Linked DNA regions of Diceros bicornis minor. The protein of the gene in region 1 purifies or fractionates together with the protein of each later gene. This does not show direct contact. Links are inferred from orthologs where the notes say so. Each region holds a gene or a part of one and is shown in the gene's direction. Other genes may lie near its edges. The genes, in order: GAPDH, PGK1, SIAH1 and EEF1A1.

The links.
Region 2: the proteins of GAPDH (region 1) and PGK1 fractionate together in Homo sapiens (co-fractionation; 4 studies listed by BioGRID and IntAct, with this or other methods). This does not show direct contact. The link is inferred for Diceros bicornis minor from reciprocal best matches to the Homo sapiens genes GAPDH and PGK1.
Region 3: the proteins of GAPDH (region 1) and SIAH1 purify together in Homo sapiens (affinity purification with western blotting; 4 studies listed by BioGRID). This does not show direct contact. The link is inferred for Diceros bicornis minor from reciprocal best matches to the Homo sapiens genes GAPDH and SIAH1.
Region 4: the proteins of GAPDH (region 1) and EEF1A1 fractionate together in Homo sapiens (co-fractionation; 3 studies listed by BioGRID). This does not show direct contact. The link is inferred for Diceros bicornis minor from reciprocal best matches to the Homo sapiens genes GAPDH and EEF1A1.

The regions. Positions count from the first base shown.
Region 1 is NC_080756.1:55,148,403-55,155,826, reverse strand, and holds the start of GAPDH (glyceraldehyde-3-phosphate dehydrogenase), read left to right. Parts: upstream 1-3,905; 5' UTR 3,906-3,966; intron 3,967-4,225; 5' UTR 4,226-4,243; coding exon 4,244-4,266; intron 4,267-6,050; coding exon 6,051-6,150; intron 6,151-6,232; coding exon 6,233-6,339; intron 6,340-6,460; coding exon 6,461-6,551; intron 6,552-6,677; coding exon 6,678-6,793; intron 6,794-6,886; coding exon 6,887-6,968; intron 6,969-7,188; coding exon 7,189-7,340; intron 7,341-7,419; coding exon 7,420-7,424. Other genes in the region: NCAPD2 (condensin complex subunit 1), read left to right, coding at 305-431, 532-687, 927-1,012. UniProt on the Homo sapiens protein: Has both glyceraldehyde-3-phosphate dehydrogenase and nitrosylase activities, thereby playing a role in glycolysis and nuclear functions, respectively.
Region 2 is NC_080781.1:70,535,842-70,543,537, forward strand, and holds the start of PGK1 (phosphoglycerate kinase 1), read left to right. Parts: upstream 1-4,232; 5' UTR 4,233-4,313; coding exon 4,314-4,378; intron 4,379-7,696. UniProt on the Homo sapiens protein: Catalyzes one of the two ATP producing reactions in the glycolytic pathway via the reversible conversion of 1,3-diphosphoglycerate to 3-phosphoglycerate.
Region 3 is NC_080771.1:2,322,157-2,329,786, reverse strand, and holds the start of SIAH1 (E3 ubiquitin-protein ligase SIAH1), read left to right. Parts: upstream 1-4,405; 5' UTR 4,406-4,916; coding exon 4,917-5,016; intron 5,017-7,630. UniProt on the Homo sapiens protein: E3 ubiquitin-protein ligase that mediates ubiquitination and subsequent proteasomal degradation of target proteins.
Region 4 is NC_080762.1:56,998,836-57,007,088, forward strand, and holds the start of EEF1A1 (elongation factor 1-alpha 1), read left to right. Parts: upstream 1-4,998; 5' UTR 4,999-5,068; intron 5,069-5,823; 5' UTR 5,824-5,857; coding exon 5,858-6,001; intron 6,002-6,302; coding exon 6,303-6,482; intron 6,483-6,599; coding exon 6,600-6,896; intron 6,897-6,974; coding exon 6,975-7,125; intron 7,126-7,214; coding exon 7,215-7,471; intron 7,472-7,558; coding exon 7,559-7,793; intron 7,794-7,904; coding exon 7,905-8,029; 3' UTR 8,030-8,253. UniProt on the Homo sapiens protein: Translation elongation factor that catalyzes the GTP-dependent binding of aminoacyl-tRNA (aa-tRNA) to the A-site of ribosomes during the elongation phase of protein synthesis.

The DNA.
Region 1 (7,424 bases):
TGTCCACCATATAGTATCAGACAGAATAGTTTCACTGCCCTAAAAATCCTCTGTACTCCCCCTGTTCATCCTTCCCTCCCCCAGCCCCTGGCAACCACTGATCTTCTTACTGTTGCAACGGTTTTGCCTTTTCCCAGAATGTCGTATAGTTGGAATCATACAGCATGTGCCCTTCTCGGATTGGGTTCTTTCACTTAGTAATGTATATTTAAGGTTCCTCCTTGTCTTTTCATGGCCTTGTTTCTTTTTAATCATAGAAATAACTATATTTCCAGGCCTGCTCTTACTCTCTTTTTCCCTCTAGGCTATACTAGATGAATTTGAGCAGAAGCTTCGGGCCTGTCACACCAGAGGGCTGGATGCAATAGAGGAACTTGAGAGTGGCCAGGGAGGTAGCCAGCGAGCCCCATCAGCCAGGAAACAATCCGCTGGTACGTGAGGCAGCCCCACGGGAGAGAGACCAGACCAGGCCCACTTCTTAGAGAGGCTCCTTTTTTTCTCTCTGTGGACTTATGCGTCTGCCTTTTCTAGCCTCTAGGCACCAGCATCTGGCTCCTGCAGCCTGGGACAATGACTTTGTCACACCTGAGCCCCGCCGTACTACCCGTCGGCATCCAAACACCCGGCAGCCAGTTTCAAAAAAGAAATCCAGAATTGTCTTCTCGAGTGATGAGTCCAGCGAGGAAGGTACAGTGCTCCCTCCTGGCCCAGCCCAGGAGGAACATAGCTTGGGGGGGGCTGGTTTGGTGGGGTCCTGCTGTGTAGAGTCTCCACCCGCTCGCTTGAGGGCGTTTTCCTCCCTGTGCAGGCGCAGTTCAGGTTTTATTTCTGCAGTGTGGGCTGGGGCTGTCCCATTTGTTCTCTGAGATCTCTTTTCACCATCTTTGTGACTCAGCTTTTTCTAATTCCTCCAATTCTTTGAATAGAGCTTTCAGCAGAGATGACAGAAGACGAGACACCCAAGAAAACAACCCCCATCCGCAGAGCATGGACTCGCAGGCACAGGTCCTAGGGGTCCTCTAGCCTGTTCCCATCCCTGCTGTGCAGGGAATCTTGTGGGTGACCTTGAATTCCATTCTCCTTGTAAAATACTGGTTTGCCTGTCTCCTTGTTTTTTTAATGCATAAGTGGTCTTTATAATGTGAGCCGTTTCTCTTACACTTGCCTGACTGAACCGAGTTGAGCTGCTTTCATGGGAATATATGTTTGCCAGTCTGCTTGTTTTCTAATGAATAAATGTTTTTATATACTTTTAGACATTTTTCCTAAGCGTTTCTTTGTTTCATCTTTCACATTAGCCCAGATGCAGGTGGCAGAGAGAGGGTTATCAGTCCAGGAAGAGAAGAGCCAAGGAGTCCTGGGGCCCCTCTCAAGATCTGATATGCTTCGTGCCCCTCAGTGCCTCATCCTTCCCTTCTCGACCTCGGCCCTCTGCATAAGTGACAGGACTGCTCCACTCTGGAGAATTATGCAGTGTCTAGACTCCAGATCAGCGCTCTCAAGTTGGGGGGTATTTTGCCCTCCAGGGGACATTTGGCAATGTCTAGAGACTTTTTGTTGTCATAACCTAGGGGGAAGGGATGCTACCAGCATCTAGTGGGTAGAAGCCAGGGATGTTGCTAAATATCCTGCAATGCACGGGACAGACCCCGCAACAAAGAATTATTCAGCCCAAAATGGCCATCAATAGTGCTGAGGTTGAGAAACCCTGCTCTAGACCAAGGGCTGGCATCCTCTGTGTGTCCGTCCCCGGCCACACTTGTGCTCCCTAATCCCACCTCTGAGGACCTGGCCAGGCTAATGGAAGGTCAGGGCATGATCCCCTCCAGCTCTAGACAATGTCTCTGGAGACTGTGTCTCCCAGGGACTCCTCCCCATGTTCCAGGGTCTGCAGGAAGTCGGGCCCCCCCAGGTGCAGGCACTGCTCTGTGCTGCCACCTGAAGCTGTCCACCCCCTCCACCTCCCCACGTCTTCTCTGCTGAGTCACCTGGAGCAGGAGGCAGGGAGCCTGCTGTCATGACAACACTGGTGTCTTTGCTGTCATGACAACAGCAGACTGCGTCAGTAGTGCTCCTGGGCACTGAGCTCCCTCTTTTTGGCAGAGAACAATAATCAAAAATGACAAGCATGAGGCGAAGGGGAAGACAGTACCTCAGACACTTGCTTTGGGTGGTGCAGGAACATGGAGGGGCTCCTAAGGCCCTTGTCAGGAAAGGGTTAATGGTCCTGGTGGAGCCTGAGCAGGAATGGAACAGGAGCAGCTGAGTCCACTTCAGCAGACTCTGCAGTGTGGCGCTTCCCATCTCCTCTCACCGTTAGGTGCCCTCTGGCCCCGTTCTTGCTGTTCATGAAAAGCCTGGGCACCAATCATGCAGATGGCTGCCAGGCACAGGCACAGGCACAGCCGTGGCTCTGGGGCCCCAAGGAGGGAGGGCAATCCCAGAAAGGGAAAGGACTGGGGCTGGAGTCTGGGTGTGCGACAGCGTCCTCTCTGCCTCTTAAGCAAAGGTTATCACCAGGCGGGCTAAACTTAGCCTGTCAGTTAGAAAAGGGGGCTGGTCTCAGGTTACGCTGGGCCAGCAAAGAGGCCCCAGGATCCCTGTCCCCCAGCACCTGCTGATAGGCAACGTCCATTCCATCCCACCCCCTTCTAAACCCTCACTCCTTTCACGTGCTCAGAAGCAGTCCTTTCTCCAACCTCAGCTCACAAACTTGGCACAGCCAGGCATCCTGACCCCTCGCGGAGGGGAATGGATCCTCTCCTCTACCTCACGTGTGGGAAGGGGCTGGGGACCTGTTCCCACCATGTACCCAAGACCTCCCATTTTTTCCCTACTCTGGACTCCTCACCCTGCCCCCAACAGCCCCGGGCGGGCGCAGCCAGTGAAGGGGAGTCCCTGGCTCCAGGGCTGGGCCGCACGTCCCAGAGTGGGGAGGGACTTCCGCCCTCACGTCCCGCTCTCTGCCTTGGGCTGGAGGGGTGAAAGGGGCATTGTCTCCAAGCCTGGGCGGCGCGGCACGCGGGTTTCCCAGGAGACACTTTGTGGGAGGCACCACCCAGCCCCCAAGAGTGATCCGTCCTCCCGCTGGGGCCCTGGCCTGGGGGAGAGCATCTGGTGCACACAGGGCCTGGTTTGTCTGCCCCAATTATCAGGTCTCCAGGCTGCCCGAGCTGCAGGACAGCGTGACCTTCAGCGCAGAAACCCTCCCCCCCGCAAACATCTTCCTGAGCCTCCTTCCTCTCCAGGCCCCACTGCCCAGTGCCCAGCCCAGGCCCCCGGCCCAGAGAGGCCTGGAGCCAGGAGATGGGGAGGAGGAAGTGGGGGCTGGGAAGGGCCCCGCAGAAGGCGGATTGGCCCCTCCCCGGCCTTCTACTTGGCTGTTCCTATGTCACTACCGAAGAGCCTCGAGGAGAAGTGCCTCAGCCTTGGAAAGAAGGGGGAGGGGGTGGCAGTGTGCAGCCGCCAACGTGACCCGGGCTCCGGCTCCAATTCCTCATCCCACCAGCTCCCAAAATCTTCCCGTTTCATCCGTGCAGCAACTTTAACTTCCCTGGCTCCTGGATATCCTCAGTTCTCACCAGGACCACTGTCCTCGAGTCCACAGTCTCCTCATGCCACAGTCCCGTCCTAGGCACCATCACCGATCACCTCCCCCATTGGGCCAGTCTCAGTCCCCTCCCCCTCTCTGTCCCTAGCCCACACGCGTGGTGCGGGCACATCTGAAGAGCCGGCGGGTTCAAAAAAAAAAAAAAAAGGCAGGCCCGGCTACTCGCGGTTTTACGGGCGCACGTAGCTCAGGCCTCTGCGCCCCAGTGCCGGCACTTGGGGGCCGGCAGGAGGCGGGGCCGCGTCGCCACGCCCCGGCCCCCCTCCCTCGCCTCTATAAATTGGGACAGCAGTGTGCGACTGTGCTCTCTGTTCCTGCCCGGTCCACGGATAGCCGTGTTTCTTGCGCAGTGCTAGGTAAAAACAGGCAAAGCGGGGCCACCAAGGGCTCAGGAACTGTTCCGAAAGGGGCGCGGGGCTTGCGCAGGCCAGGAGCTCGGCTGCGCGGTGCGGGGTCGGGGTGTGCGCGGCCGGGCCTCCGCATTGCAGGGGCCGGACGTGCGGAAACGCGGGTTGGGAATGGACGCATGGGGGAGGGGAGCGGCGGGGAGGGCGACGGCCGGACTCCAGCGCTTCCCGCCCCCGCGTGCTAATGCTCGCCTTCCTCTTCCCGCAGCCGCGTCCCCGGGACACGATGGTGAAGGTCGGAGTAAACGGGTGAGTTCGGGAATGGGCTGGGTGTGGGGCATTGAGTTCTGCGGCCCCCAGCAGTTTGCCCTACCCGGATCTCTGCGAGCGGGTGGGGAAGGTGGGTGGGATGGTCGAGCGACCCCACCGAGGAGAACTCAAGGTCAGCGCTCAGACCTGGCAGAGGCTCCCGCCTCAAAGGGCCTCGTGTCTCCCGCCCCCAGCTGTTGCGCTTGCTGTAACTCCACTCCTGCAGGGACAGCTTGCCCGGAGTCTTCCACTCCACCGACCATGGGCAGACGAGTCCCCAGTTCTTGCTTTGGACCCATCCCCTTAATCTCCTAGCTGGGGCTTCTTTTTTCCTTTCGCGCCCTGCGAGGTCATGTGCTGGAGAGGAGCCTCTCCCCCCACCAGCCTCCTTCCCCTCACCTAGCCAGGCCCAGGCCCAGCAGGGGGATGCAGAAGGCACAGCGTGGGAGGGTTCATTTGCGGTAACCCAGCCGCCATGTTGCAACTGGGAAGGAAATGAATGAACCACCGTTAGGAAACCTGCCTTAGCTCTTCAGTCTTCCTCCTCCTCCCTTGCCTGTGACTAACCCTCCAACTCCTGCCTCTATGGGGTGGAGTCGCCTTTATCCGGTAAAGTAGGTGAGGCAAGGCTTTCCTCGCTCTTGCTTTCAAAAGAGCTGGACCTCAGAACTGGGACCATATTAACCCTGGACCATCCCTTAAACAACCAGCTGAATTTGCCCTCAGGGATAATGCTTTTCTTAGATGATTCTCTGATGGATCAAAAACGGGGATTTATGGGGATCCTCTTGCATGTTTTTTTGGGGGGGGGAGCTGTGGCAGCGGTGGCTTAGTGCCATGTTGGGGGAGCTGAGTCATGGGGAGTTAGAAATTTTCCACCACAAAATGGCTCCTGCAGCAGCAGCCCCTTTCTTCATCGGCCTCTCCCTGAAGCGCCTTTCTTTCATCCATGCCTAGAGCTGACCCAACCCCAAAGGCCAGGCCGTAAAGGTCACTGGGAGGATTAGGTGTCTGTGAGCCTTGGGAATCCTGCCCTTCTCCCTATTCCATCTTCCAGAAACCAGATCCCCACTCCACCCTAATCTGAGGTTAAATATAGCTGCCTGACCTTTCTGCAGCTGGGGGCCTGACCAGTCTGCTCTCTTCCACCTCCTTCTCTCCCACACACATCTGTTGCTACTGCTCCTGATTTTTGGAAAAGAGCTAGGAAGGACGGGTAGTTTAGCAAATTAGAGCCCAGGGATTAGGGGCTTGAGAAACCATGTTTTCCCTGTCTCCTTCCCTTTTGTGGGAGGGACTTGGAAGATGGGTGGGCTTTCCTCATCCAGTTAACTTGCGACCTTTACTCTTGCCCTTTGAGCTTGGTGATGCTGAGTGCACAGTCTTGCTCCTGAGAGGGTGTAGCCTGAAGTTGGGCCAGACAGGAACAAGCCTTCCCAGGGCAGATAGCTGGGGTGATGAATGCCATGTGCCAGGCATGTGCCCCAACTTTGGATGGCAGCAGCGTACCCTGCACTGCTGTTTCTCCTTGAAGGACTTCAGATGGCTAGGGGGTGGGCAAGTCTGTGAGCCTGATCACCTCTTGGAAAGGATAGGAGCCTTCACTTTATGACTAAGCTGTGCCTGGAGGAAGATAAAATTAGACCTCTTGGAGCTCTCTGGTGGTGGGATGGCCATCTTCCCTCTGAAAGAGGATGAGTTGGCCTAGGGCTGCTTACATACATGATAGGGTAGAAGTCTGTACTTCCTCCTCCTCATGCCTTCTCACCTTTTGTCTCCCTCAGATTTGGCCGTATTGGGCGCCTGGTCACCAGGGCTGCTTTTAACTCTGGCAAAGTGGATATTGTCGCCATCAATGACCCCTTCATTGACCTCAACTACATGGTGAGTGCCGCCCATGCAGCTGGTATGGGGAGCAGAGCCTGGCTGAAGCACAGTCCTTTGATGCCTTCATTTGTTCCTCCAGGTCTACATGTTCCAGTATGATTCCACCCATGGCAAGTTTCATGGCACAGTCAAGGCTGAGCACGGGAAGCTTGTCATCAATGGAAAGGCCATCACCATCTTCCAGGAGTAAGTATGGAAGACGAAACAGGAAGAAGAAATCTGCCTTTGGGGAGGTACTAGAATGGGGTGACCACCTTGGGTACGTGGTACCTCATGTCCCTGAGCTTTGTCTTGTCGTCCTTTGTAGGCGAGATCCCGCCAACATCAAATGGGGTGATGCTGGTGCTGAATACGTTGTGGAGTCCACTGGTGTCTTCACTACAATGGAGAAGGCTGGGGTGAGTGGCAGGGAGGCTAAAGAGGGGGGAGTTGACCCTGAGATTTGGTGTAGCAGAAAGGGGGCAGGGGGCTGGCTTCAACCTGGAAAGATAGAACCTGGGTTTGTAATGCCTCCTCTACTGCAGGCTCACTTGAAGGGTGGAGCCAAAAGGGTCATCATCTCTGCCCCTTCTGCTGATGCCCCCATGTTTGTGATGGGTGTGAACCATGAGAAGTATGACAATTCCCTCAAGATTGTCAGGTGAGCATGGCGGAGGGGAGTTGAGAGGGGAATGAAGGAGTGGTCAGATAGTACTACATGTTACAAGATGGAATGCTCTTTCTCTCTTTTCAGCAATGCTTCCTGCACCACCAATTGCTTGGCTCCTCTGGCCAAGGTCATCCATGACCACTTTGGCATCGTTGAGGGACTCATGGTATGAGTGGAGAAAGTGACCAGAGCACATTCATTTCTCACCCAGAATTGGATCCTTCTGTTTCCTTAGAACATAGTCTAGGGCTGTGGGACACAGGGGGTTCCAAGGGATTGGCTCGGGTCACTCTAACCCTTAATTCTTCCTAAGGGGAGGAGGAAGGTTGAAGAGTGGGTGACATGCTGAGCATTATGTGGGACCTTCACTCCCTCCCTGTTTCCAGACCACCGTCCATGCCATCACTGCCACCCAGAAGACCGTGGACGGCCCCTCTGGGAAGATGTGGCGTGATGGCCGAGGGGCTGCCCAGAACATCATCCCTGCTTCTACTGGCGCTGCCAAGGCTGTGGGCAAGGTCATCCCTGAGCTGAATGGGTGAGTCTCTCTGCTGCTTTTCTGCCCTGGGATCTGGGGAGCCAGGAGTGGTGCTGACCCTGCTTCCCTGTGTCTACAGGAAGC
Region 2 (7,696 bases), on another chromosome or scaffold:
GTACTGGAAGTCCTAGCCAGAGCAATCAGGCAAGAGAAAGAAATAAAAGGGATCCAAATTGGAAAGGAAGAAGTGAAACTGTCACTATTTGCAGGTGACATGATTTTATATATAGAAATCCCTAAAGAATCCACCAGAAAACTTTTAGAAGTAATAAATGAATATGGTAAAGTTGCAGGATACAAAATCAACATACAAAAATCAGTTGCATTTCTGTACACTAACAATGAAGTAGCAGAAAGAGAAATTAAGAATACAATCCCATTTACAATTGCAACAAAAAGAATAAAATACCTAGGAATAAACTTAACCAAAGAGGTGAAAGATCGGTATGCTGAAAACTATAAAACAGTGCTGAAAGAAATTGAAGAAGACACAAAGAAATGGAAAGATATTCCATGCTCTTGGATTGGAAGAATTAACATAGTTAAGATGTCCATACTTCCTAAAGCCATCTATAGATTCAATGCAATCCCTATCAAAGTTCCAACAACATTTTTCACAGAAATAGAACAAAGAATCCTAAAATTTATATGGAACAACAAAAGACCCCGAATAGCTAAAGGAATCCTGAGAAAAAAGAACAAAGCTGGAGGTATCACACTCCCTGATTTCAAAATATACTAGAAAGCTATAGTAATGAAAACAGCATTGTACTGGCACAAAAACAGACACACAGCTCAATGGAATAGAATCGAAAGCCCAGAAATAAACCCACACATCTATGGACAGCTAATCTTTGAGAAAGGAGCCAAGAACATACAATGGAGAAAAGAAAGTCTCTTCAACAAATGGTGTTTGGAAAACTGGACAGCCATATGCAAAAAAATGAAAGTAGACCCTTACCTTCCTTACACCATACACAAAAATTAACTCCAAATGGATTAAAGACTTGAATGTAAGAACCGAAACCATGAAACTTCCAGAAGAAAACATAGGCAGTACGCTCTTTGAAATTGGTCTTAGCAACATATTTTCAAGCACCATGTCTGACCGGGCAAGAGAAACAATAGAAAAAATAAACAAATGGGACTACCTCAAACTAAAAAGCCTCTGCACAGCAAAGGAAACCATCAACAAAACGACAAGACAACCTAACAATTGGGAGAAGATATTTGTTTTTTTTTTTTTTTTAAAGATTTTATTTATTTATTTTTTCCCCCCAAAGCCCCAGTAGGTAGTTGTATGTCATAGCTGCACATCCTTCCAGTTGCTGTATGTGGGACCCGGCCCCAGCATAGCCGGAGAAGCGGTGCGCGCCCGGGATCCGAACCCGGGCTGCCAGCAGCGGAGCACGTGCACTTAACCGCTAAGCCACGGGGCCGGCCCTGGGAGAAGATATTTGCAAACCATACATTGGATAAGGGATTAATCTCCAAAATATACAAAGAACTGATGCATCTCAACAACAAAAAAACTACCAACCCAGTTAAAAAATGGGAAAAAGACCTCAACAGACATTTCTCCAAAGAAGATATACAGATGGCCAACAGACACATGAAAAGATGTTCAACATCATTAACTATCAGGGAAATGCAAATCAAAACTACAATGAGATATCACCTCACACCCGTCAGAATGGCTATAATTAACAAGACAGGAAACAACATGTGTTGGAGAGGATGTGGAGAGAAGGGAACTCTCATACACTGCTGGTGGGAGTGCAAACTGGTGCAGCCACTATGGAAAACAGTATGGAGATTCCTCAAAAAATCAAGGATAGAACTACCTTATGATCCAGCTATTCCACTGCTGGGTATTTATCCAAAGAACTTGACAACACCAATGCGTACAGATACATGCACCCCTGTGTTCATTGCAGCGTTATTCACAATAGCCAAGACTTGGAAGCAACCTAAGTGCCCATCAAGGGAGGAATGGATAAAGAAGATGTGGTATATATACACAATGGAATACTACTCAGTCATAAGAAACGATGAAATCCAGCCATTTGTGACAACTTGGTTGGACATTGAGGGTATTACGCAAAGTGAAATAAGTCAGAGGGAGAAGGTCAAATACCGTATGATTTCCTTCATTAAGTAGTAGATAATAACAACAATAAACAAACACATAGAGACAGAGATTGGATGGTTGGTTACCAGAGGGGAAGGGGGGAGGGAGGAGGGCGAAAGGGATAAATCGTCACATGTGTGTGGTGAAGGGTTGTAATTAGTATTTGGGTGGTGAACATGATGTAATCTATGCAGAAATAGAAGTATAATGATGTAAACCTGAAATTTATACAATGTTATAAACCAATGTTACTGCAATAAACAAAAAATTAAGAAAAAAAACAACTAAATGCAACGTGTGATCCTGGATTGCATCTGGGACCAAGATATTTGCTATAAAAGACATTATTAACACAAATTTGGAAAATTTGAATAAGGTCTATTAGACAACCGTATTGTATTGAAGTCAACCATGATTCATCCCGTGGGGCTGTGACATAAGCCTACCCTCCCTGTCACTGGCCCAATAATCAAACTGGGCTTCTGTTAGCAAGAAAGGATATGGCTGGGGAAAGGCTGTTGGGTAGGCAAAAATGACTGCAACAAAAGGCTTCTCATTGCTTTTAGGATGAATATCACATCTTTATCATGGTTATAAGGCCCAAAGGATCTGGTCCCTGCTTACCTTGCCTCTTCAGTATAATTTTAGACCTCTCTTCCTCCCACTCTATTTTCCAGCAACATTGGACTTTTTGTGTTGTCTAAGGCTCTTTCCCATCTTAGGATCTTTGCATCTCTGATACTGCTTCAGATGTGTAGAGGATAAAACTTCCTGATCTTTATGAGCTTTAATGTTCTCATCTATAAAATAGAGATAATAATAGTACCTACTTCACAAAGCTATTGTGAGGAGTAAATGAATCATGTATGTTCAGCCTGTAGCACAGTGTCTGGCATACAGTAAGTGCTCAATAATTGGGAAGTATTGTTAAGTTCAGGCTGTCAGATTGCTTATTTTAGTTTCCCTGATGATGCCCTTGGTTGCTTTTCTATCTTATCAGAAAGGAATTGCTTCGCACTGCCACAATAATCCAGATGGAATGAAATAAGTGCTAAATATATGCAGAGCTGATCATGGATGAGGCCAGGAGGCCCATCTGGGCTTTAAATGTAGATTCATTTGGAGTAACTCCATGAAGGTTTCCCAAATGTACATTGACAGGATTGAAAGGAACTAATGTTTATCTTGTAACTTTAAACTTGTGTCTCATTATCAGACAGACACATTTGTGTCTCAATACCAGTGCACTATGAATTAATATTTCCTATATCTTACCTGGACGAGTGCCATACGTGGGAAATTTTTGTTTGTGATTCAAATTACTTCATTCCAGCCAACTCTGTAAGCATGTGGACACCAAATACCTAGTTCCTAGCAATGGTGTCTGTATTACAGTATAGTTAAGTGTATGGATTCTACATCTGGATTGCTTAGGTTTGAACCCATCACTTACAAGATCTGAAACTCTAAGCAAGTCACTAAACCTCTTTATGCATCATCTGTAAAATGAGGATGACAGTACCTACTTCCGAGTTTTGCATTCGTTAATATATGAAAAATGCTATATGTTGTAGCACTGTGTTGTAACCAGAAGAATTACACTGCACTTTTTATTATTAAAAAGGTGGGGCGTGCGGGGGGTCCTGGGCCTTTCCTGACTTCTGCGAGGTCTCCATTATTAAAGCCGCTTAGCAGCCTTGCGGAGAATTCCATTTTGGGGAGCCGGGAAACCACAGTTTTCCAAAGGGAGGTGCCATTTGCATCGATCCTGGTAGGGCTGCCGGGAATTCCGTGGGATGGAGGCTGGCGCTTTTCCCCAAGCTGTCGCGGGTTTCCGCGGCGCTGTAGCTGCTCTGGGCGCGGCGGCAGAGACCCGGGTGGCGGCGGAGACCCGGGTGGCGGCCTTGAACCTCTCACTCTCTCCACGTCCACCACCCGGCTCCCTTCCCCCCAACTTGCGGGCCCCGCGGCACCGCCTTCCGCTCCCGCCCCTAGTCACGAAGGTTCCCAGCGGCTCCCTGCGTGCCGGACGTGACAAACGGAAGCAGCACGTCCACCAACGCCCTAGCAAACGGACAGCGCCTCGGAGCAATGGCAGTGCGCCGGCGCCTTTGGGCTACGTCCAATAGCGGCTGCTGTTCGCGGCGCGTTGGGCGCGGCGGGGCGTGGCGGGGCGGGAGGCGGAGCGGCGGGGCCCGCGCGGAGTTGGGCATTCGGCACGCGTCTCTCGCGCACGTAGGCAGTTTCGTCTGCTGCTCTTTGATCCCCCGGCCTGTCGCCGCCGCTGTATTGCCAAGATGTCGCTTTCTAACAAGCTGACGCTGGACAAGCTGAATGTGAAGGGGAAGCGGGTCGTCATGAGGTAATTGTACACGTGTGCCTGCGCGCCCTCGCGGCTCTCGCGCAGTCTCTCCGGCTGGGGCCGACTTGCTTTCCCGACTGCCCCAAGTTGCTTTTAGGCCTCTACTCGGCCCCATGGGCCCTAGCCAGGCAGGGCGAGGCTGCCCACCGTTGTAGCTGAGGCTTTGCCCGGGTGTTACGGTTTCTAACCTCATTTTCCCCAGCCCAGAAATCGAGCCGTAGTTGCCCTTTAGGGGTGGATCCACTGAGAAAGGGCTCAGATTGCCGGGACCCATTTTGCCCTCTTTCCTATTCTTGAAATGCAGTTCTGTCGGCCCCAGCTCCCAGTCGGCAAGGTGGGACCTGATGCTTATCCTGCAAATCCCTAGGCCCCAAGGAAGGGACCTTGAAAGGTCATTTGGTTAGTTCCCCTTCCCCCACCGCCCTGGACCATCCCAGACAAATGAGAAACGGCCCACATTTCAAAGGTCCCTTCACAAAAGGAAATCTTCCCCAGAGCGTGGTGATTTAGATGTTCAGTAGAACCCTCTAAAGCATTGGGGGTGGGAGGGTGAGAAGGGCCTATGGTGTGGTTGGACTCCAGGCCATGGGGTTTGCATCACGATTGTGACACATGCTGGGTAATGCTAGAGCAGGGTGTGGCTGCTCATTCTTGCTGTTCTCCAACCTCACCCCACAGGTGGCTAGAGAAGCAGGATATTAGAAGTGGGGAGGGCTCTCCATGCACTTTCGGGTCTCTTACACTGCATACGTGGATCCCTGGTCACTTACAAACGTAGCTTCTCCCTTATCTGCCCAAATTACTAGTATGGTGTATGGAACTTTTACATTTATCCTTTTTGTAACATGTGGTACGTTTGTGCATGCCAGGAGCAAAGTACAGGAGGACAGTTAGGTGTGTAACTGATAGTCTTGGCTGTTCATATGCCTTGACAGGATCGAAGGGTAGTGCCGTTGGGCGGCCATAAGGGCTTGAGTTGATAGCATTGTGCAGTCTTGTCCTTTTGGGGAAGTGGTTGATGGATGGGCAGGCATCTGAATGCTGTGATCCACCCCCTTTCCCAATTTGGGCTGGTTCAAATGAGGGCATCTTTTGGATATTAACAGATACATAAGGCAGAAGGGTATCTCCCTTTATCCTAGGCTTAAACATATGAGGGCACTATGAATTAGAGAATTGTATGGGCACCCTAAAAGTTCATGTAGCTCTCCCTTTCCCTCTAATTTCATTATGGTCACTATTTGCAAGTGGCCTTGTCGGCCTGGCTATGGAAATGGAAGAACTCAGTAGCTTATGGCCATGAGAAACACCTGGTGGACAAATTAGGAATCACAGCAATCCTAGTATTAGATAAGGGCCCTTTCTACTCCTCAGGTGATCTTAAGGAAAGGGGATAGACCCTATGAAAAACAAGACAGGTGGACATTGGCATGCAACTAGATCTTAGGTTTTTTATTTATTTTTTATTTTTTTTTGTGAGGAAGATCAGCCATGAGCTAACATCCATGATAATCCTCCTCTTTTTGCTGAGGAAGACCAGCTCTGAGCTAACATCTATTGCCAATCCTCCTCCTTTTTTTTCCCCCAAAGCCCCAGTAGATAGTTTTATGTCATAGTTGCACATCCTAGTTGTTGTATGTGGGACATGGCCTCAGCATGGCTGGAGAAGCGGTGCGTCGGTGCGCGCCCGGGATCGGAGGGCGCGTGCTCAACCGCTAAGCCGCTTAACTGCTAAGCCACAGGGCCGGCCCCTAGATCTTAGGTTTTAATTATTTCCTCCCATCTCCACTGGGCTCACATCAGACCTTTCCAGATGCATGCACCAGCTGAAAGACAAGAGGTGGGGTATCATGCTCGTCAACTTCCTACAACTTCAGTCTTGGGCTTTATCTCCTCTCTCCCCAGGGAAATTGGCTTGAGGAATTAACTGGGCTGGCTGGGAGTGGGACTAGAGGAGGTGCTTATCTTTTCTCCTTCTGGACCTAATATGAAATATCTTTCTGCCCAAGGGCTCAAAGTTTCATTTAACACAGATTAACCCTGAGCCTTGAAATGATTGGCTTGTCCTGTTTTGCTGATGGAAAATGACCTGTCCAAGGTCACTGAACTAGCAGGTTGGCAGAGCTAGAACTAGAATTTGGATCTCCTTGGCTACCAGCCAGATCCTCTAAATATTCATAATGAACAAGGACAGGTTAAAATAGACCTTTTGTCTACTGAAGGTTGCAATCAATTTTCCTCATGTAATCTGGATAAATTCTGCTTATTTGGCCTGAGGACAAGAAGTTACTTTGTTCCCTGATTATTAATGTACCTTTTTCTAACCGACTACTTTTTGGAAGAGCCTGGGCAGCCATGTGGTGTCAGCTCAAATTTCTTTTTGTTTCAATGCCTTTACGTGGTGGTTGCTGGTAGTGTTTCAGAAATGGGGCCTCCTGAGTAGTGACTGCTTCACTTGCCTCCTCTCTTTTTCCTGCGTAAGAGAACTCGGTTTGCTGAGTCTTCTGGCCCCTGCTTTGAATTGCCAAGGGGAATTGACTGATTTGTTGAGGGAACATTAGATAGCCAGAAACTGACTGGATAATTACCAGGTTCCACCTCAGTTTTTTAGGACTCCAGTTGACTTTACAGCTCTTTGAGTAAACTTCCTGCTTATTTTTGCCATGTCATTTCCTTTCTTCCTCTCACAGGTTGCCAGTCATACTCATTTGCCAACTTGTGAAGCACTTCCCTTTTACTTGTTCCCCCGTGCTTTTTTAAACCTGTTTTTCTCTAATGTGTTTTAACTTGTTAAGCAACAGCCTTGATGTAGTAGAAAAAGAAATGGAGAGGAAAAACTGAGAGCAGAGAAAAAGAAAGTCTCTAAGACAGCCATAATACCTCAATTTTCCAGTCAGGGGTAGTGAAGCAAGGGTGGGCATGGTTCCTTTGAGAGCTTTTAATGGAACTGGGCCTGGACTCCTGAGATTTCAAGTGATAGAGACTTGATATTCTTAACCCAACTAAATCAATATTTTTAACATTTTGTTTGGAAATAATTATAGATTCACAGGAGGTTGCAAAGAGGTCCTGCAACGGTTGTACAGAGAGGTCCTGTGTTCACCCAGTTTCCCCCGTTGGATACATCTTACATAATTAGAGTACAATATCAAAGGGAGGAAGTTGACATTGAAATAAAGTGTATAGTTCTGTGCTGTTTTATCACGTGCATAGATTTGTGTAACTCCTACCATAATCAAGACACAAAATTATTGTTTTGTTTGATCACCAGCAAGATATCCTTCATGCTACCCCTTTCGAGTCATGGCCTCGCTCCCT
Region 3 (7,630 bases), on another chromosome or scaffold:
AGTAATTTTCTTAAGAAGGGTTCATGGGTACTATATTCCTCGAGTTCTTACATGTTTAAGCATGTCTGTTGGTTGCCTTTTGTCTTAATTTTTTCCCTCTGATTACAGAAATAATACAAGTTTCTTATAAGAATATAATAAAGCATAATGTATTCTAATACTGACGCACATGTGAATTTTTATATATCCTCTTAAATCCCCATCTTCCCTTGACTTCTGAGGTGCTGCCTTCCTGGTTTTCTCTCACCCTTGCTTTCCTTCTCAGTTCTTTAGGCTTTTGCTACTCCTGTGGGCCTCACTCAGCAGCGTTGGTCACACCTGGGAGCTGGTTAAAAAATGCAGAGTCTCAAGCCCAGCTGTACAGCAGTTCTGATTCTAACTCAGAATCTGCATTGCAACAAGGTCTCTAGACAATAAGTAAGCACAATAAAGTTTGAGAACTGTTGCAGTCTAGATGCCACTACCTTTTCCTTTAATGAACTTTTAAATCTTTAAATGTTGGGATTTCTTTGAGGCCAGCTCTTCTTCTCTGTGACTTCAGGTAACATCTGTACGGTAACAACTCCTAATCTCCAGTCGTAACTCTTTTGTGTCTCAACTGCTTCTTTGATTAGACATCTCGTGGGCATCTTACTCCTCCTTTGCATTTCATCTGTTATCATATTGCAGTATCTAGCATGGTGCCTAATAGACTCTAAGTATGTGCTGTTTTTTACCAGAGGCGGAATCCTCAAAATACAGTGATTTAGGCAGTAAAAAAGCAAATGTACTTTGCTTTACACATTTGAGTTAGCGTTTGCGTTTTCCTCTCCATTTCCTCTATCATCACCTTTGTTCAGACTTCTTTTTTTACAGCAGCCTTCTGTCAGATCTTGTGTCCTGGGCTTTCCCCGCTTTAGATTGTCAGTCTTACTAGACACACAACTCTTCTATAGCTACAAAGTTTTCAGAGTTATCTTCAGGATAATAGAGCTTTTAGGAAAACATGCACAATTTAAAAAAATTTCTCTTATTACTTTGCTGCAGTTCTGGAAACTGAAGATAGGTTATATAATTTTTTTTCTTAGCATTGTTTTATAATTTGATTTTTAACTTTTGGCATTTTTAAGCTGATGAATTTTTAAGGAGACTTGCCTTAATTTTTGTCAGAGTGTAAGAAGTAAATCTTAAAATAGAAGCGATTTTTAACATAATTTAACAAACATTTTCTGCATAATATCTATCACAATATCAAATGTAGAAAGTTCCTTTTTTGCAAAAAAGACTTGAGGAAAGCCCTGAAATTTTTTTTTTGCAGGGGAAGATTTGCCCTAAGCTATTATCAGTTGCCGGTCTTCCTCCCCCACCCCCCACAGCCCCAGTACATAGTTGTGTATAGTTCTAAGTGTCTTCTTTGTGAGCCACCGACACATTATGGCTACTGACAGACAAGTGGTGTGGTTCCGTGGGAACTGAACCCAGGCTGCTGAAGAAGAGCGTGTGGAACTTTAACGGCTAGGCCATCAGGGCTGGCTCAGCCCTGAAATGTTTTTTTGTTTTATTTTTGGTGAGGAAGATTGGCCCTAAGCTAACATCTGTGCCCATCTTCCTCTATTTTGTATGTGGGACGCCACCACAACATGGCTTGATGAGCAGTGTGTAGGTCTGCACCCGGGATCCGAATCTGTGAACCCTGGGCCGCAGAAGCAGAGCACACGAACTTAACCACTATGCCTCTGTGCCAGCCCCAACCCTGAAATATTTTGAATGGAGAAGTTTTATTTAACCCATTGATTCCTAATACAGAGAGCAAATTCATAATCTGAACCTGTACTTTTATTTTACAATAAATATTATGTCGTTTCTAGGAATAATTTTTGGAGAAATAAAAGAAGGGTAGTGATATTTTTTACTAAATTAAGAATGCAAATCTTCTTATTTTGACTAATTGTTTTTTTTACTAAATTAAGAATGCAAATCTTCTTATTTTGACTAATTGTTTTCACAATTCTCAATCAGACTAATCTTTATACCTTTTTTATTGTCCTCTTTGAAGGAAATATAGCTAAAAATCACCCATATCCTACCACTCAGAGAACTCACTCATTGGTCATTTTCTGGTGTGCAGTCTTTCTGATTTCTCATTCCTTGCTCCCCCTGTTGCCCCATACCTCCCATGTATGTTGTTTGTAATTTGCTTTACAATACATTGTGATCCTTTTAACATATCTGACTACATTCCTCCATTTTAAACTTTTATTTTGTATGTAACTGTATTAGCTGCCTGTTGCTGCTATAACATAACATTTTCACAGGTTCAGTGGCAGGCATTAGGATATGGACATCTTTGAGGTCTCATGACTTGCCTGCGGTAGTGTATTTGTAAACTACAAGAAAATGGTAAGCACAACATTGTTGTGTATTAATTAGAGTAGCCAGGGATGAGGTTATGATTAATCAGAGAAATTCTTCATCAGTCATTTATGAAAGGAAGCAAAGGTTCTCACATGAAATTGAGAATAAAAGTTTATAAGTCCATCTCCTTCTACTGTTAAGTATATTAATGTGGCAAAGCATGGTTAAATGCTCTGAAATTACTAAGACAACGTTAAAGGCTGATTCTAAAATGTTTTGATTTAGATTAAAATCTATTTAAACTTTATACCAAACTGGGCTTGAGATGTAGGCTTTAGAAAGTGTAGATAATGGTACACTCTTGCCAAAATTTGAGTTTTTGCTAACTTTGGGATCTATGGGCTTGTCTTAATGTAATGTAGTTTTTGTGAAATTTTCAGCTCTTTGTAAAACCAGTGTAAGTAAATTTCTATCTAGTCGAGAAATTCTGTTAAGGTTTATTATGCTAAAAATTAGGTAAATGGCAGTTGATCTTTGGCAGACATGTTTGATCATTTGTACAAGCTCAAGGCATTTTTTAGAGTGTGTATCTGGAACCCACAAGTTCTAGCTCTCTAAGTAGTTGATGACCTCAGGCAGAGCAGGAAACTTTCAGAGGTCTCAGGTGAATACTTACTTATTTTGGAGTATGTACCACCTATGATATACATAAATTACCCATCTCCCTTAATCCAGACAAAAGCCACGGGAGGCGGGAAATATTGTGCCAGTTTTAAAGCTGAGGAGGTGGTGAAGACTGGGTTTGAATCCAAGTGTAGATGACTCTAGAACACCCGCACTTTTACCGTCCTGACTCACTTTTGGTAAGTTGAGAGGTTTGTCCATAGATTAATGATTTTCAGACGGTGCTGTAAGGCTCTGTGCTGACCCTTTGAAAGTCTGGGAAAAAATGAAATATTTTTTTGCTCGAGGAATCAGTTATCCCCCCTTGTTTTATGCATGTGGCTTCTGTCTTAATTCTCTTTGGAAAGAATTTCTCTGCCTAAAACATTTGAAGTCTCCTGCGCTAGAAACCAGAGGCACATCTAGAATGAATATGTATTAGAAAATAAAAACGTAGGTGATAGTAGTTTATATTTGTCAATGGACAGACTGTATCTGTTTTCAATTATATTTCTATTCCTAATGATACTTTGTGTAGCCTAATATTAAGATGAGGTCAAGGTGATTGAACAAACTATTAATAGGGTGGGGATGTGATTAGAGTTAAAATTTGATACTGAAAGTGGGTAATCTACAGTTTCCTGCACTGGGCTCACTCCCCACACCAGCTCTTGCTGCGTTTAAAGGCTGCCCTAAGCATGATGTCATGACGAGTTAAACCTCTGAATGCACTAGCTGAGGCGATGCAAATCTGAGACCCAGGATTTGATTGGGGCAAGGGTATTGCTTGTTTAAAAACAAAACAAGCTGCTCTATTTAATGAGGCCATTTAAGATGGCTTTCCCAGAGAGAGAATATAATCTCAATTTGGAGGTTAAAGTAGGAGTTTAATATGGTTATGTGTGTTTACTTCTCTCACTGCAAAGTCTTTTCGGAGAGAAGGGGAGTTTAAAATATGGTGCCGACGGGTAGAAATGGAAAAGTGAGTTAGAATTGAGGAAATACAGTAGTTGACGCCCCGTAAATAGTTACTGAATGAAGTGGGGAGAATGCTTTTACTCTATAAAAAGTTAAGAGTTCGCACGGTTTATCAGCAGGGTATAGTGCAGAGAAGAGCGCTTGTGTGGCCACATGTTTCCTAGACTCTCTGTAGTTCTTGGGTTGAAACCGTACGCAATTGCCGATATCCGACTATTTCGGCCTTCAAAAATGGCATGTTTCGTCCTAAATGTATGCTGGTGGAATGCTGAGGCGTGCACAATGTCGCTGGGGTAGGGGTTTTGCCCCGCTGGGTGGGAGTCGCACAAGGTGGGGCCCGGGTGCTGCGCTGGGCCGGTGGGGTGGAGCTTGCTGGCCCCTGAGCCCTGCCCCTCCCGCCGGCCCCGCCCCGCGCCGGGCGGGCGGCAGTGCCTTGGGCGCCGCAGTGAGGCCGGCTGGCGCTCCCGGTTGGAGCAGGCCTTCCCAGTTGCGACCCGGCTCCAGCTCCCGCTCCAAACGGACCTCCTGGCGGGCCGGACCCTGCAGTAGCTCCAGAGCCGCCTCGGAGAGCGCGCCTCCTCCCCCCGCCGCCGCACACTCTGCAGCCGCGTCCTTCACCAGAGCTGGCCGGAGCCTAGCTGATGAATCTGGGGACGACAGACTTCCAAGACAGACCGAGGTTTAGGGCCCAGCAGAGGATAGCTCAGCGATGGCTCCCATTTTTGGAGACGCAGGCAAATTTGAGCTCCCGGGAAGGTGTGGTCGACTCCTCTGTCTTTGCCTCCGTAGCCCGTGCTTCTGCAGAGTGAATGGAGTGTCTGGAGCAGGGCCCTGACCGTCGCTTCTTGGCAGCGGACATGCTTAGGAAGGTGTCCAGGAAGGGCCTCTGTTACAGATTGTCTTTGCTTCTGGGGCAGCGGCTATGAGTTGCCCGATTTCCAATGACCGGGAAGTCCGGGAAGTCTGCCTTACCTTTTCTGTGCTCCTGGAGGGGCATCTTGCTCACTTGTTTACCAGCAGCTGGGACAAGGAAGAGAAAAGGTATTGACATTAAGAGACTGGTTGGGGCCCGCCCGGTGGCGCAAGGGGTTCAGCGCCCGCGCTCCGCTGCCGAGGCCCGGAGTTCACCGGGTCGGATCCCACACCGAGGCACTGCTTGGCAGGCCATGCTGTGGTGGCGTCCCATAAGGAAGATGGGCACGGATGTTAGCCCAGGGCCAGTCTTCCTCAGCAAACAAAGAGGAGGATTGGCAGATGTTAGCACAGGGCTGATCTTCCTCACAAAAAAAAAAAAAAGAGAGAGAGACTGGTTGCTTAAACTGTGAAACGGGACAAAGTTGTTGTAAGCCAGGGGAATCTGACTGGATCAGGGAATAGCTGCAGCATAATTGAGCTCACAGTGACGTTTCTTTTGATCTGCTGTACTTTTCTCAGTTTAAATCAAATTTCACGTTATGTCATGACTTCTGCAGGGTTGTCCAAAGACACTTGAGTCCTTGGTTCCTACTGCAGGGCTGCTGTGTGGTTGGGATTCTTTTTCTGTTTGAAGATGGAGCTAGGTTCCCACCTCTGGAGCTTTGGGAGGTTTTAGCAGCTGCTCTCTTGTAATACCTCCATTCACAAGAAATATTGGCTACATGTCACTTGTTTTCACACTTTGAATAGGAATTTAAATTGTGCTTTCTAGAATGTTTGGAAAAATAAGAAAGATACATTGTAACATGAGCCTGAACTATTGATGATAAACATATAACTGTTTTGCTAGGTCAAGAAATTAAAGTGTTTTTCTTGCTTAGTAAGTTACATTATGTTGATTTGATTACAAACTGAGTTTACTGCCCCTCCATGTGATTAGCTGTTTTGGTTTAGTGATTTGAAAGGCATTGGTGGCTTAGACTGTTTTGTGCTCAAGGAGCCACTTTCCATTTATTATGTTTGCTCACTTCAGTGAGCAGCATAAAATGGACCATGAAATAGACATACAGCATACATACAGGGCGTTTGGGCAATGCTGACCCATTGTTTTACAAGTGACCTAAAATGATGGATCATCATATGCACAAAGAATCTCCTCAGGGGGAAGCTGGATTACAAGAGAGTACCTTTATAGTCTCTTTGTTGGGCTAGGACACCTGTGGTGTACAGGGCTTCGATGATGGGAACTGATTCGTGTGCTCCATGTGATGAGCTACATTATGGTGGAATTCTGCTGTACTTTTGTTTCCCTTTGAACTTTAGAGAGAGTGGAATTTATCTTTTTTTTCTCTTTGCATCCTCAACCCCCATTTAAGGTGTGTATCCTTGAGTAATCTAGAACTCAGATTGTATTTACATGGTCACATTGGTAACCAGCATTGTTTTTTGAAAGTTAAATTCTTTGAAACAGAATAACAATTATAATTGAGAAAACATTAAATTTGAGGCATTAAATTTTAATTTTGTGGAAATATGGCTTATATAGTTACTGGGAGTACACTCCTGGACATCGACTGCTCTTTTGTCACCCCCCAGATAAACAGTGGCCTGCCGTATCCCAGCAAAGGTAGATTCCTGGGAAAAGGTGCTTGTGTCATCTTTCCTTCAGTCTGACAAGTTAGTTACATTGTTGATCATTCCTTCCAGATGACATTTCTCTCTTAAATAATAATGTTTATTACTGTGCTGATGAACGCTCCAGCAACATTGGTGAACTCTAGGGTACAAGGAATTCTTTAGCTGTTGACTCTTTCCCTGAGCTCCAATGTTGTGAGTGTGTGTCTGGTGCTTTTATATTTATTCTTTTTTTTTCCTTCTTGAGGAAGATTTGCCCTGAGCTAGCGTCTGTTACCAATCTTCCTCTTTTTTTGCTTGAGGAAGATTGTTGCTGAGCTATCATCCGTGCCCATTTTCCTCTATTTTGTATATGGGACACGACCACAGCATGGCTTGATGAGCAGTGTGTAGATTCAGGCCTGGGATCGGAACCTGCGAACCCTGGCTGCTGAAGTGGAGTGCGTGAACTTAACCACTATGCCACAGGGCTGGCCCCTGTCTTCCTTATTTACCTTCTTTTCCTTGCTTTCCTTCTCCTTTGCAAATTATATCTGATTTATATTAATGGAATGGAAGTAGACTAGAATGATTTACTTTCTCTAAGTACCAGACTAAAAACTTTGAGGATGGCCCTCCATTTCTCTTGTCCCTCTTTTGAGGGAGGTACTGATCAGTAGGAAACAAGATTAATACCCAGCTAATGTTAAGGAGCTAGAGGATGAAGATGGAGGATGGCAGCAGGCCCTTCCCCTTGCGATGCCCTCCATTCCCCAAATATGCCTCTAGAGCAGATAACTGTTCACCATTAAGAGGAATTAATCAAAGTCAACTCCCTGGGGATCCTTTGGATCACTTACAAGGCCCTGTAGCTTTCAACAGCTGACACAGAATGGGAAAGAAATAGACTGAGTAGGGAAATTGAACACAGGGAGGAGAAAGTCCAATCAAAATTGACTTGATTGAACTTAAGCTTAGTTGTTTCTGGTCCAGTTTCTCTTTCAGCATTTATTCCATGTAGTCCATCCAGGGACAATTTTTAACATTTTTTTAAGAAAGGGAATTCTAAATGTGTTCTGGAACATTTTGAAAAGAGATTTTATCCAGTGTACAACTCCTAATAATC
Region 4 (8,253 bases), on another chromosome or scaffold:
GAGAGAGCATCTACCTTGGCAAGCACCGTATTTGGAGGCATGAGAGCCACAGCAGGAATATCTTTAGTTTTCTTAATCTTCCTGGCATATTCTTCAGGCTTCCTCTAAACTGCTAAAAGAGAGTAACATTTCACTGTATCACCTCTGTACAATTTTTTACTATGTACATGTATTGCTTATTTCAAAATTTTTATAAATAAAAAGATACCAATGAGTATATTTTCTCTACTGAGTCAAGTTAGTGTCACAGGGCATACCAATTGAGGCCAGGCGTTCTTCAGAAAGCCTGTAGAAATTCGGTTTTAACTAGATAACTGAGGGGCCAGCTCAGTGGTGTAGTGGTTAAGTTTGGCATGCTCTGCTTCAGTGGCCCGGGTTCTTGGTTTCAGATGCCGGGCACAGACCTACGCCACTCATCTGCCATGTTGTGACGGCGTCCCACATATCAAATAGAGGAAGATGGGCATGGATGCTAGCTCAGGGCCAATCTTCCTCACCAAAAAAAAGAAAAGAAAATAAATTAATTAATTTAAAAAAACAAAACTAGATAATTGAGTGTCCCCATATCTTTTCACATCATTGCACATTAGAACTGTGAGGCAGGTGCTAAGTGTGAGTAAGGAGCAGACCCATGCCACAGATGCCCTGCTGGCTGTCACAGACCTGGAAGCAGAAGAGCAAGCACTGAGTCCCAACTTTCTGACTCCAACCCCACCGCCATTTTCACTCGAGCAGGCTGCCTAGACCCGCTGGTACAAGTTAAGACTAACTTTCCTGTCAGATTACCTGGGTTCCAATGCTGCCCGGCTGGGCTTTAACGTACTCAAAAGAAAAGATCTCCAAGATATATTAAATGAAAAAAGCAAAGTGATATGTAGTACTTTACCATTTTGTGCAAAAAAGTGAAACTTTAAAAAAGAACGTATGTCTGTATTTGCTTATTACGCATAAATTATCAGTTGCCTACAGGTTCTCCATCAGTAAACAGTGGGATTACATTAAATATTGCAAATATTAGAACAGTGCTTGGCACAGCGAAGTAACATTATGCTTGGATTCTCAGTCCAAATAATTCCTTGGCTTAATTATATTTTAAAATACCCTTTACGGGGCTGGCCCAGTGGTGCAAGCGGTTAAGTGCGAGCACTCTGCTTCAGTGGCCCGGGGTTCGCAGGTTCGGATCCTGGGCGCGCACCTATGCACCGCTTGTCATGCCATGCTGTGGCAGCGTCCCATATAAAGTAGAGGAAGATAGGCACAGATGTTAGCTCACGGCCAATCTTCCTCAGCAAAAAAAGAGGAGGATTGGCATCGGATGTTAGCTCAGGGCTGATCTTCCTCAAACACAAAAAAAGAAAAAAAATACCTTTTAAATGATCATTTTCAATTGGCACAGGCAACAGGAAGGTGGCAAGCCACAGCAAAACGTAATTACCTAAAGCTGCTTTAAAGTAAGCCCAATAGCAGAGTGATTAGCCAATACCGAAAGATGCTTGGTGAATCACAATTAGAAACATCAAAGAACTATTACTGTTCGCCCTTTTACTAAGTTAATAACTAAAATCCTTTTTTAGAGTTTGCTACTCTAAATAGTATGAGCAACTTTAAGGAAAATCTTAAGCAAAATATGACCTTAGATTATGACCCCAAAACACATTTACAAGTCTCAACAATGTTACCGTTGCGTTTTAACATGTAAGTTAGTAAAAGGCATAATGTATCTGCTGTCAAGTCGGACAAAATGCGCTACGATTATGTTTAACACATAGGGCCTGGGGAAAGGGACTTTTTAAAAAGAAAATAACATCTGCTTCAGTGTTTTAGAGGCTACGCCGCGGTGACGAAACCGACCCCCCCAGCCACGCGGGGTTTTCTGTCTCCTCCCCGGCGCTTCCTTCCGCAGTCAGAGGACCGCCCAGAGGGACCTCCGGGGGGCGGCGGGGGCGCGGCGGCCGGGGCGCAGGTGTGGGCGCGGCGCGGGGCGCCCGACAGCAGCGCCGCCCCCGCCGCCGCCTGGTTCCGGCCCCGGCCCCGGCCGAGAGCAGAAGTGGGGGCCGGGCCCTGAGAAGAGGCTGTGACCCGTGTCCAACCCTTACTCACAATATGGCTCCAGACACGCCCCCCCGCCCCCGCCCAAGTCTCGGCGGCCCTCGCACCAGTCAGTGGTGCCCGGTAGGTTACTTACACAAAAATCAAAGACTATGTATAACTTTGCTCTTCCTTAGGTGCTGTGTTAAAGAATTCTCTAGAAGGTGTTTATAAAGTGTATACTCTCACCTGCAATCACCGGGCCTTGCGGAAAACTTGCCTATAATCTGGGATAGCTTTGGAGTCAAACTTCTTCAATTTTCCTTTCTTTCTGGGCATAATAATGAAAATTCAGCTGCCATTATTTGTTCCTGGAACACTTTCGGATCATTTCATTACTTTAATTATACTTGGAATGTTGGATTTCTTTTTTTCACCATCCAAAGCAGTCAAGGTGCAACTAGGAAAATGAAAAGGTGACATCTGAATCAGGACCTGTAGTTTTTATAAGCTCCTGTGGAAATGTTTGTGGTCATCTCTTAAAGAATTCCCGTGTCCGACATAGTGCTGAATATACACACACATCTACAAAGATTACTATTTAAATTATAGTAGGTCTATCTTTTCAAACAGAATAATTCACCTGAAAGCATTATCTCTCCAATTATCACAATTTTAGTATTATATAAAAGTACTTGAGTTTGCACTGTCACATTTTAATGAATTGTGCATATTTCACAGAGATCACTTTTTTCACTTTTATTTTACTGAACTGAAATTATCTTTGATACTTTTCCCTCTTACCAACATCCACTTTCATTTTGACTTTTTTTCCTTAGATATTAACTACAATTCTGGATTCCATGTAAAACTTTCAAATATTCAACTTGTAGTCTTCTTTAGTCTTTGCTTCCTTCCCTCGTGTCACTAAATAACCATTTCTTTACATTTTTAAAATTTTGCCATTCCTATTAGAAGGCATGAAAAATAATAAATCTGGCACTTTGATCTTAATCTGAAATAACACAGTGTGCAGTTTATATTTCTGTGATATACAAATATGGCTTATGTGGGAATCTAGTTCCAAAGAGAACAGTAATTAATATTTCCAAGGAAATAAGAGCAGAGGTATTTGCATTGGTCTATTGCTAGGAGTTGATTTTCACTGTTACTTCTTACATCTTTATCTTATTACACACATGGACTAGCATATCAAGATAATTTTATTCTACATGTATATAACTGGGTAAGGGCACTAGGAAAATGCAATGTGAAAGAAGAATTTGTGAGAAGAGAGAAATTAGAAATATAGACATAGAAAAGGCTTTTGTTGCTAGAAAAATATTAGTTATATGTATTTCTAGGGAAACTTTATATGGCCTCGTTTCTTTCATGAAAACTATCTCCAAGTTCAAATGAGAAGGATAGAAACCTAATGAAGAAATGGAAAAACCTGATTTTTAGAAGTTTATATGTACAAGGAATGGTTAAAAAAAAAAAGATAAAGGAAGGCTATTCTAGAAGGCTTCTTTCATTTAAAAAGAAAAAAAGGCATTTAGATTGTGAGAACTGAAAGAACTATATTCTACAATGAAGTAGTAAGCAGCATACAAGTTTGTCTTTAACTGCTTCCCAATTGTTTTATGTTTGTTTTCCTCTTCCAATTTGATTGTGGGTTCCTCTCCAAAAAGAAGTATTTCTTTTTCACATGCCACAGAGCTTCGCTTAGCACTGGACACTTAGTAGCTTCTCAAATATTTAATAGATTGCCTCGAGAAGTTGCAGAGATGTTCTATACGTGGAAGAAAAGACATAATGTTCTTGTAATTAGCTCATTAAAAATACACGTTCTTATTTCTTCAGAGGAGTATTTCTCAGTCTGCCCTGATTGTCAACCAAAAAGGCCTCATCAGATTTCGCCCTAGATTTATGCTAAAATTCAGTTACAATCAATAGGACAGAAAATGAAGCCATTTATTTAAATAGGATAGGCCATTTTTGAGAAGCAGTGATTTCACAGCAAGTGTTGGGGACAGGAAAACGCGGAGGATAATCTTGCTGAGGCTGTAGCTCTTAGCCTCTACATGAGATCATGTGGCAAGACTGAATTTGAAAAATTCTTTTTGGGTATTTCATGCGTGCAATCGAGTGTACAGTGGAAAAAAATGTACCACCAGGGTAGACACACACACTCAGGGTCTCTTTTGTAACAAAACTAGAGTTAGAAGTAAAGCAAACTGTAGGCATGAACTCTGTTCTGAACTGAAACACTGGGCATGTGGAGACCACACCGGGCGAACATGTGATGCGGCCTTCGATAAAAGCAGCTGGCTCTGAACGGAACCAGCCAAGAGGCCAGCCCGGGAGCACATCCGTCGGGCTCACAGCCTCCAAGCTGAACCGCGGGCGGCTCTCGGACCGGGCAGGGAGCCCCCGGGTCTCGGGCCTTGCACTCCCCTCAGGTCGGGCGGGGCACGGAGGGCGGAGGAAGCGGCTGGAGGGGCTTGTTCCGGACCCTCGAGAGGGCAGGACTGAGGACGGTAGGTGTATTGCGGGATGAAGGGACACCCCAATATCGATACCATCTTTGCAGTTAAACCAGGAATGGTACAGGAAGATTATGGACGTGCCCGCCAGCCGCCTTCTCGCCGCCGCACCCCGCGCTGGTGCTGAGAGTAACTCATACAAAAAGAGGACTCGCCTCTGCCTGGGGGAATCCCAGGGACCGTCGTTAAACTCCCACTAACCTAGAACTGAGGGCGCGTGCGTCCCGGTCCTCCCGGTGGCTCTCGTCGTCATCGGGGTCGAGAGGAGCATGCGCGAAGCGAGGTGTGCTCTTCAGCGGGTTGAGCGCACATGGCGCACGGTCCCCGAGAGTGGGGGAGGGGCTGCGAGTGCACTGGGCGGCGGCGCGGGGAGAGCTGGGAAAGCGCGTCGTGTGCTGGCCCCGCCCCCTTTTCCGAGGGGGGGAAGACCGTATATAAGCGCCGTGGTCAGCCTGAACGTTCTTTTTCGCAACGGGTTTGCCGCCAGAACACAGGTGAGCGCGAGTGTGGCCTCCGGGCCGGGCCTGCGCGGCGGGCCCCGGCCTCGCGTGCCTCTCGGCCGCCGTTCCGCGGAGCCCCCTCACGCGGCTCCTGACCTCGAACTTGGGGCTGGACGTGGTGCGGTTCGCGGCCTGGGCTTTTCCGGAAGGCCCTGCGCCTCGTGCTGGGGTTGAGGCCTGGCTCGGGCGCAGCGCCCGCCGCGTGCGGGGCCCCTGCTGCCCTCGGGTGAGGTCCCCGGCCGCTTGAAGTTGAGAAGACACCACGGTGTCCCCCGCGGGTGGAGTGGCCGAGGCCGGGCCGGATCCCGCCGTGTGGGCTCGTCCGCGTCGTCGGGTTGCCGGGCGCGGGCCGCCGCGAGGCGCGGAGGGCGGGGCCGCTCGTGCGGGCGCGGGCGGGGGCGGAGGGAGCCCGGGTGCGGCGGGGCGCGCCGGCTGCGCGGCACCAGTTGCGTGCGCGGAAAGATGGCCGCTCAGGCCCTGGCGGCGCTCAAAATGGAGGACGCGGGCCCGGCGGGCGTGAGTCACCACACAAAGGGCCGGCGCCGTGCCCCGGCTCCCGGCCGCCGCCCCCGCGGTCCTCGGCCGGGGGGAGGGGCGGCGTGGTCGGCTCCGCCGGGGCTGGAGGCGAGAGCGGGGCCAGTGGGGCGCTGCTGTAATGCAACTTGGAGTTTGCCCTTTTGAGTTTGGATCGTAGCTTTTTTCAAGCCTTTGGGACGGTGACTTAAAGTTTATTTTTTCTTTCAATTTAGGTGTCGTGAAAACCACCGCTGAATCTAAGCCACAATGGGAAAGGAAAAGACTCATATCAACATCGTGGTCATTGGACACGTGGACTCGGGCAAGTCGACTACTACTGGCCATCTGATCTACAAATGTGGTGGGATCGACAAAAGAACCATCGAAAAATTCGAGAAGGAGGCTGCGGAGGTAGGTATCACTAACAGGTGAATGAGAAGTCTACTGCTGAAGACGTTAAATGAAGATTTTGAAAAATTATTGTCACTAGCCTAGATATTTACGTCACACTGGATAAAAACGGTATAACCTAATGTTTGCTGTTGAGTCAGTTTTGTAACCATGTTTTGAGAATAAGGGAAAGCCACTTAGATTTAGCCATTGTGAAGAGGAATCGAGCATTTCTAGCTAGATAAGTGCGGTAAGGAATTTCAAGCTGGCATTTGATCGTGTCTTAGTTAGCAAGTAACCATTTTTAATCCAACCCTAACAGATGGGAAAGGGCTCCTTCAAGTATGCCTGGGTCTTGGATAAACTGAAAGCTGAACGTGAGCGTGGTATCACCATTGATATCTCCCTGTGGAAGTTTGAGACCAGCAAGTATTATGTGACCATCATTGATGCCCCGGGACACAGAGACTTTATCAAAAACATGATTACAGGCACATCTCAGGTTTGTAGTTTTAATAACTATCGGCAGTAACTCTTGGTTTGTCTTATACATTGAAAACATGGTGTTGTCTTCCTTTTGAAGAGCTTTAACAAGGTATGGCCTTGTTTTCTTTAAAAGGCTGACTGTGCTGTCCTGATTGTTGCTGCTGGTGTTGGTGAATTTGAAGCAGGTATCTCCAAGAACGGGCAGACCCGTGAGCATGCCCTTCTGGCTTACACACTGGGTGTGAAACAACTAATCGTTGGTGTTAACAAAATGGATTCCACTGAGCCACCCTACAGCCAGAAGAGATATGAGGAAATTGTTAAGGAAGTCAGCACCTACATTAAGAAAATTGGCTACAACCCCGACACAGTTGCATTTGTGCCAATTTCTGGTTGGAATGGTGACAACATGCTCGAGCCAAGTGCTAACGTAAGTGGCTTTCAAAGCAGTTGAAAAACTCTGAAAGGGGCAAGTTTCATGGTAACACTAATTGACGTTGTGTTGCAGATGCCTTGGTTCAAGGGATGGAAAGTCACCCGTAAAGATGGTAATGCCAGTGGAACCACACTGCTTGAAGCTCTGGATTGCATCCTGCCACCAACTCGTCCAACTGACAAGCCCTTGCGTCTGCCCCTCCAGGACGTCTACAAAATTGGTGGTAAGTTGAAACGTTACTGTCAGTGTAATTTGCATGGGTTGCTACTTGGTATGTGGTGTGTTTATGATACTGTGTTGTAAACATTTTAGGTATTGGTACTGTTCCTGTGGGCCGAGTGGAGACTGGTGTTCTCAAGCCTGGCATGGTGGTCACCTTTGCTCCAGTCAATGTTACAACTGAAGTGAAGTCTGTTGAAATGCATCATGAAGCATTGAGTGAAGCTCTTCCTGGGGACAATGTGGGCTTCAATGTTAAGAACGTGTCTGTCAAAGATGTTCGTCGTGGCAATGTGGCTGGTGACAGCAAAAATGATCCACCAATGGAAGCAGCTGGCTTCACAGCTCAGGTAACACTTTAAAGTGACACATTCTCATCTCTTGCCAGAACTTTAACTCTCTTTGAGACACACTGAAATGCAAATCTTTTCTCCAAGGTCATTATCCTGAACCATCCAGGCCAAATCAGTGCTGGCTATGCACCTGTGCTGGATTGTCATACAGCTCACATTGCTTGCAAGTTTGCTGAGCTGAAGGAGAAGATTGATCGTCGTTCTGGAAAGAAGCTGGAAGATGGCCCAAAATTCTTGAAATCTGGTGATGCTGCCATCGTTGATATGGTTCCTGGCAAGCCCATGTGTGTTGAGAGCTTCTCTGACTATCCTCCTCTGGGTAAGGATGACTGACTGACCAGTGCACTTAGGAAGTTTTACTAAAGATGGAAAATAATTGCCTTTGTCTTACCAAGAGTTTCTAATAGTAATGTAAAATTTGTTTTAATAGGCCGTTTTGCTGTTCGTGACATGAGACAGACAGTTGCTGTGGGTGTCATCAAAGCAGTGGACAAGAAGGCAGCTGGAGCTGGCAAGGTCACCAAGTCTGCCCAGAAGGCTCAGAAGGCTAAATGAATATTATCCCCAATACCTGCCACCCCAGTCTTAATCAGTGGTGGAACGGTCTCAGAACTGTTTGTCTCAATTGGCCATTTAAGTTTAATAGTAAAAGACTGGTTAATGATAATGATGCATCGTAAAACCTTCAGAAGGAAAGGAGAATGTGTTGTGGACCATTTGGTTTTTTTGTGTGGCAGTTTTAAGTTATTAGTTTTTAAAATCAGTACTTTTTAATGGAA